Caenorhabditis elegans: one gene and its partner. The protein of the gene in region 1 purifies or fractionates together with the protein of each later gene. This does not show direct contact. Each region holds a gene or a part of one and is shown on either strand. Other genes may lie near its edges.

Evidence for each region. The genes of interacting proteins can lie anywhere in the genome.
Region 2: the proteins of nhl-2 (region 1) and F13H8.11 fractionate together in Caenorhabditis elegans (co-fractionation; one large-scale study listed by BioGRID). This does not show direct contact.

What each region holds. Positions count from the first base shown.
Region 1 is NC_003281.10:4,897,066-4,900,819, reverse strand, and holds the start of nhl-2 (B box-type domain-containing protein), read left to right. Parts: upstream 1-1,734; 5' UTR 1,735-1,862; coding exon 1,863-1,984; intron 1,985-2,289; coding exon 2,290-2,635; intron 2,636-2,734; coding exon 2,735-3,271; intron 3,272-3,330; coding exon 3,331-3,754. Other genes in the region: tag-340 (START domain-containing protein), read right to left, coding at 1-62.
Region 2 is NC_003280.10:6,257,857-6,261,610, reverse strand, and holds the start of F13H8.11 (Lipase_GDSL domain-containing protein), read left to right. Parts: upstream 1-1,589; 5' UTR 1,590-1,655; coding exon 1,656-1,791; intron 1,792-1,839; coding exon 1,840-2,073; intron 2,074-2,121; coding exon 2,122-2,354; intron 2,355-2,411; coding exon 2,412-2,572; intron 2,573-2,617; coding exon 2,618-3,108; intron 3,109-3,585; coding exon 3,586-3,713; 3' UTR 3,714-3,754. Other genes in the region: nmgp-1 (Neuronal Membrane GlycoProtein), read right to left, coding at 1-42, 88-152, 200-389.

The sequences.
Region 1 (3,754 bases):
CTGTCTTTGCTCACTCCGATTCTTTGAGATCCGGGGGAAATTAGTGGTTGACGTCCGCTCATGACCTTTTTTCGATGTTTTCCATTCTTTTTTAATCTGAAATATTGGGAATTTTAAAACTTAAGTAAGGGTAATCAAATGAAAATCACTTTTCAGTATCCTCTGGAGCTGAAAAAGTAAGGTAAGAAGTAGTTGGTGAGGCAATTTTGAATATTGATGCACGAATGAGACAACTGATATCAAGAAAGAGGTCAAACTGATAAGGCGTCAAAAAATAGAATCTCATCGAAAAAGGAAAACAATTTCTTTAAAACTTTACAGTACCTGTGAAATTTTAAAGGAGCATAGCTTTTTCCATTGAAAAGGTCCCGCAACGAAATTGGTACTGTGAATTTCAGAACTCCTCTTGGACAAATTCTTTTTGAATAAATCCTTGCTTTTTATTAAAAAATTGTTCCCTTTTGAGTATTTATTTCTGTTGAACTGGTAAAATATATTTAAATAAATATTAATTTAGTCAAATTGCAACTCTTTATTAGTGGAAGCGCCTTTCAAAAACCTGCTCGTATCGATTTCGTTGGCTAAAATGCGAAAAAAGTAAACAAAATTCCTATGAAGCCTAATTAGCGTCTGATAAAGTTTTTAACTTGATACGTTACTATTGTAAAAAGATTTTAAATTCTTTTTTATGTAAATTCGGAAAAAAATTTCCAATAGAGTGTTTGTCATCTGAATGATCATGCGAATGGTCATCCACCAACCGCTTCCGAAAAAATCGTCGAATTTCCCTGCCGCACTTTTGCAGTTTTCCTCACGCCCCTCACTCCGCCCACTTGGCATTCAGCCAACAAATACCCTCGAGGTGGTGAAAGTGCAGCTGGCACGATGCCAAGTAGGCGGTTTCTCTGCGTAGCGGCCGCGAAAGTGTGTGTCATGCGTGTGAGACGATACAGAAAGCGGTGTCCCAGTCTATGACTACTCTCTTCATTCTGCATACTCTCTCGCCACTGTCTGCACGCGTCTCGTGCAAAAGTGCGCTAGTAATTGCTCTTTTTCGTCGAAATGACGTCATTTTTTCGAATTTTGCAAATTGATTTTTCAGTAACAGGTAGAATTTGATTTCAGCTTTCTGCTTTTCTAATAAATTTCAATGTTTTATCGTGAAATTCTGAAGAAAATGGCATCCAAAGTGCATTATTTTGTTTTAAAACTTTTGAATTTTTTTAAATTCTTCATTTTTTATTTAAAAATTAAAAATTTTCTGTTAAAATCAACAATTTTCGTTTACAACACTTGCATTTAAACATTCCCTGCGCTCGCTTTTTGTTTAGTATTGCATTGCAGAATATTTAGAACATTGAATGCCATAAGTACTTTGTTTTTTCTTGATTATCTCTTCTTCCGTTTCATTTTTTCTGTATCTTATTCGTCTGCGCGTGATTCTTTTTTTGTAGAACCTAACAATTTTCTGGTCAGGTGGAATAAGTCTTATGACATTGAAAGAAACGCTGAAACTGAACGTTGTGTTGTTCAAACCAACAAATATTTTGTTTTTTTTTGTATTTAGGTGTTCGTTTTTGTTGTAATTCTTATTAGAGTTCGAATAGTTCACTGATTTTCCGAAACTTTAGACGCCTTCCTTGATTTTTTTATTATTCTTTTGAATGTATTTTCTGTGAAACTCGAATTTCTTACTACTCTTAAACCCAATTAACTTCTTATAATCATTTTTCATTTCAGTTTACACTCCAAGAGTGTCCCTGATACTTTAATATTCTCTTATTCTGTATTTGTGTGCTTGTTAATAACAAAAAGCACCCGGATAAGAAGATTGAAAAGTGTCGAACGTTCATTCCGTGAAGATGAAAAAAGCGGCAGATCGGCCGACTTCGGCGGTGAATGGTAGGCATGAATCGCCCGCTACGTCCACAAATAACACACAAAATAGTGGAACGCCCAGTTTGAATGGACAAGATCCACTGAGGTAAGCTATCATGAATTACATAAGTTAAAAAAAAACATTAAAATTCTTAATTTCAACTAAAACCTCTAATTTTGTTTTTTCCGTATCGATTATTTATTGTTTTTTAAATCTTTTAATTGGCAAAATCAAATTTTCAGCCAAAATAAAACAATTTTTCTGAAATTTCTTGAACTGCAACTACAAATTTTGAATTTTTTTTTTGATGAATTTGGTTATGAAAGTCGGTCTTTTTTAGGCCATTGTTAGTATATTACATCTTTAAACACTAATTTTTCCTGATAAATAAATAATCCAAATAGTTTCAGATCAACGTCATCATCACCTCTATTTGGCACAGAACCACTACCAGAAGATGATCATGCTTCATGTCCATACTGTCAACAAGATTTCCGTAAACCGCGAGTTCTTGATTGTCTTCATTCAATGTGCGAAGATTGTATTATTGCTCAACTTGATGGACACCTTCAAGCAAAGTCAGCTGCCATTGAAGAGAAGAAACGAGCGACTGCAGCAATGTTGGATTGTGAATTGGAAACACCGAAAGTTAAAGAACGACCAACACCTCCTGGCGTAATCCGATGTCCAATTTGTTCACAAGAATCGCATGTTGGAAATGATGTTCGATATGTTCATGCCATGCTCCTGGATTTTGTAAGTTGAATTTTTTTCTGAAACATAGTATTTTGGTCTTTTGATCTACCAAAAACATTACTAAACTTGGATTCAATGTTTTCAATATAATATTTCCAGGTTCGTCTTGCCGAAATGAAGGAAGTTGAAGTTGAGAAAATGGTTGCCCACCATCGCAAACCATGTACTGCCTGCAAATCCGAACAAGAAGCCATCGCATTCTGTGATCAATGCTCTTCAGATTTATGCGAAAACTGCACAACTGCTCATACTGTCATGAACCTTTTCCAAGGTCACACTGTAACCACATTTGCTGATCTTCGGCAGCCTGGAGCCCATCCAGAACTTCGTCAAGTCATGTGCTCCACTCATAATCAGCATATGAGATATTTGTGTGCAGCATGTGAAACAGCGGCTTGTAAGCAATGCCTGGAAGTTGATCATTTGAATCATAAAATCATTGATATCAACGAGCTTGTGATCAATGCTATAAGGGAAGATGTGACAAGTACTGTGGATCGTGTCGAAAAGAAATATAACAATTCTGTGGCTGATATGAATAGCCTTCCAGACAAGTCTCAACAGTTGAATGAACAGTATGAGATTGCGAAGTATCGAGTTGATAAACATTATGAGGAGTTACGCAATTCTATTGAGGTAGGGCATCAAAATTTAAATGTTTTGGAGTTAAAGGGAAAAATATATTAAAATTTCAGGAGGCCTATCAAAAAAGCGTGAACGATCTCGAAGAGGCGCGAATCCGTCAAGAGTCTAACATTGATGAAATGTACCGTAAATCACAAGTTAACGAAGCACGAGTACATGATGCCATCAACTTCACTCGCCGACTTCTTACCAAAGGAAATGGTCTCGAGTTGGTTGTTTCGAGGAAAAAAGTTATTCAACAATTTGGAAACTTGTCTCATGCTATTCCATCTCATGGACACCAAGTGGAACTTGAGTTTTATACTCCATCGAAAAAACAAATTGATCATTTTGTGCATCAACTAACTGGAACAGTTATCGGACGAGTGATTCAGCCAACTGTTAAAGACGTTGGAAATGCAACTGCAGCATCAACTGATAGAAGTGAAAGAGGAGGTTCTCAACCAGGAGGTGGAAGATCTAGCTCAGCAGCTA
Region 2 (3,754 bases), on another chromosome or scaffold:
AAGCCAAGATACAATTGAAATAATGAATAGCCATGCAATTATCTGAAAGTTAGTTTTAAAATTATACGTTTACTGAGCAATTCTTACTAGAAAGAAATCGATCAACATTGCGATGACGCATGCAAATTTTCCACCACAGCGAGCTTCATCGTCTGAAAATATTGTACATAAGTTCTCCTAGATCATTGTCATTTTGAACCTTTATACATAGTTTCTCTTGTTCCTCCAGTTGCAGTAAATCCGATGCATAAGAAGAAAAGTGAGAATAGTCCCATTAAAACTGCGATTACAATAAAGAAAACTTGAACCTTGTCAAGCCATGGCCAATCATTTATTTTCAGAGATCTTCTGACTTGCTCTGCAGTTGCATTAAATGCCCAGGACATCATAATTGCAAAGAGAATAACTCCAAGAATGCATAATAATGATCCAATAAGTGATGCATATGGTATTCGATGAAAACAGTCATCTTCTTCTGCGTCCGCATTCAAATGAACGACGGCGGCGTTCTGCGAACGTCTTTGCGCCGCCTCTTTCGTTGATCTTGACACTATTTTGACAGTTTGAAAAATATTATTTCAGATGAAAAATAAGAAACAAATGTAGCCGTGGAATAATTGTAATAAGCAAGTGCAAGCGGGCACCGGGGCAACAAAAAGGTATGTATGAGTGTGTTTGTTTGTATTGCGATCGAAATTGGAAACGGACGCGGAAAGGTGAGATAGTGGGTTGGGAACAAATTTAAATATTGAGACGCAGACAGCTCGCCACGGATGGTCAGTTTTAGCGGAGGAAAGCAGAAAGAGGAGAAGATGATGGTGAGTCATGTTTGCATGATCTTCGATGAGAATGTCGCAAGGTGCCATTTGAAAGTTGGAACAACTCATGTATGACGCAATTTTACATTTCCTCTGGGTGACTTGTGGTGTTATTTTCAATTTATTGAATCAGTAGGAAACACACACATTTTAAAATGAATGTGCATGCAATTGTGATGTACGATGAGCTGCAATCATGAACATCTGGGAAAAAGAGTTGAAGAATACAAAGGAGTCTGCTGCCGTTTCATTGAACACTTTTCAGCGGCACCTGCCAACCGGATATACATTGAGAATTTTTTTGAAAGTGGAAATATGAATATATACAGGTTACTGTTTTCTGAGAAATGGTTAAATTTTGTTAAAATTATATTCAGGAGTTCTTTTTTTCAAAGAACTTCTTAACTTTTTCATATATGGTGACATGGGTTTATCTATCACACAGCCTGAACGCGGTCTTCACAATTGATTTTTTGAGCATTTTTAGGTGGCATTAACTGTAGATGACCTCGTTTTCATCACCTCTCGCAAGCCCTTTTGAGTTTGAGAAAAGCTTATTGAGACTTATGTACTAATATCAAATATTATTCGCAGTAGAATTTGAGCGCTAAATAAATGAGTTGGTGTTTGTGCTCAGTTTACTTCACAATTTGCAAAAACGAAATACATATAAACACAGACTACACAAACTTGTTTGTCCCCTTTTTTACCAATTTGCTCGCCCTCTTATCTATGTCCTACGGTGTAAATTGGAAAACAGACTATCTTATCATTCTGAAAAACGATTTAACTTTAACATACATGTTACCTCATTTTTCTGCAGCGTTCTTCTTGAAAATGGCACGGTTTTTCCTTTTTTTGGCGTTTGTGGAAGTTAATTCTATTATTTCACCTCCTAATGAAATTATCGAAACATCTGTGGAAGTATTCAATCAGTGGAAAGAAACTAGAAATGCGTTTATGGATTCAATGGGTTAGTTTATTAATCGTTCCATCTAACCCTTCAAGTTCCGTGTTACAGAGTACCCAATGGGCTTTCCAAACTTCAATTGTCCCCAACCTCATCGAAAATCTTCCGAATCTGTACATCAGCTTCATCCATCACAAATTGGAGTGATAGCAGCACTAGGCGATTCTGTGTCAGTTGCACAAGCGGCGAAATCATCGTCAATTCTCGATTTATTTGATCAGTTTCCTGGTGTTTCGTTTGTAACAGGAGATGATGTAAAGCTGAATGAGCAAGCCACCTTTATTAGTAATAATTCGTTTTGACTTTCACTTACTTGCAACAGAAGCTTTTCAGATATTTTCCGTAAATTTGCACCGCGAATAAAAGGAGGATCCTCTGATTTTGTTCAAAAGTTTTACGACTTTAACATGGCGATTCCTGGCTCATTCAGCTCGGAGCTTCCCGAACAAGCGCTCAAATTAGCAAGTACATTGAAGAAAAAGCTGGGTAGAGAAACATCTGATACATGGAAATTCGTTAATATTTTCATCGGTCATAATGACTTGTGTAACATTTGCAATAATGAGGTAAAATAACCATTTCACATCGGAGCTAATTTTCATTTCCATTAAAAAATATTTCAGACTACCTTCGGGCCTGAAACATTTGGAAAGTCACTTCACTCGGCACTTACAATAATTCAAACAAATGTTCCAAAGGTATTCGTTAACATAATGCCACCAATAAATGTCAAAATTCACTCACAAGCTCACAAGTTGAGTAAGTTCTGCGAGTTTTCACATAGGTTTGTTTTTCAAAATTAAAAAAAAAATTAAACATATAATTACAGAAAAACATGCTCGTGTATTTTTGAATTAAATGAAAAAGAATATCAAAACATCAAGAAACAATTCGATGAACAATTGAATGAAGTTGTAGAACAATTCAATCAAAAATATGGAAATTCATCTACATTTGCTGTTGTGATTGCTCCAGCCATGGATCTAAAATCAATTCCGTTACTTAAAAACCAGCCGAATATTGGACTATTGGCACTCGATTGCTTCCATCTTTCTCCAATTGCTCATGATATTGCTGCGAAACAAATTTGGAAAGGATTGTTCGAACCAATTGATCAAAAAACAATCACTAATCAATTATCAGTTGGATTCGATAGATTCGTGTGTCCTCCTGTTGAATGTCCGTACCTAAGAACGATTCAAAACTCTGAAAACTGTGAGCCATCAAGAGAAATGAGATTTCTCCGAGTTCCTTCAGCTTTTGCAAGCTCTCCTGGTTTAAGCATGCCTCCATACATGATTCCTGTATTTTTCCTTTTTGGTGAGTTTGGTCTGGGAAAAAATACGTTGCTTATTTTTTTGTGAGGCGGCTTAGATTAAAAGCAGCTGCTATAATAATCAATAAAACCACTTTTCAAATATTTTCATTGGGAGAAAGTTTCCGTTTTCGCTTTTTCAGAGATAAGAGATATAAAATAAAGGGGCACCAATAAACATATTTTCTCAAAAACGCTAGACGCTAATTGCCTGCCCTCAAGGCACCTACGCCTGCGTCTTGTGTACTACCAAATTTGAACTTTTTCACTTTTGAAGATTATGTAAACATACTATAAGAAAAACGGTTTAAAAATATATCAAAAATACTCTGCACGGTGAAAAAATCTAACACCTGAGTTCAAGCTAAAGTTCAAGAAAAAAGGCATAGATGTAGGCAGGTAGATATTCTGTCACTTATGACTAAAAATATGTCTTAGCATTATTCAACTTTTTATATAAACCGAAAATATTTTGTTCCTAGGTACCGCTCTAATACTCCTATTTGTTCGTGCTTCCATCCGCAGTTCTACGACGTCTTCCGAGTTTTCCGATGAACGACATCATCTACTTCTTCCGCTGCGTGCCGACCTCAATGACAACATTTTCTAAATGGTTTCTAAAATGTACTCATGCCACTTGATGAGACAGTT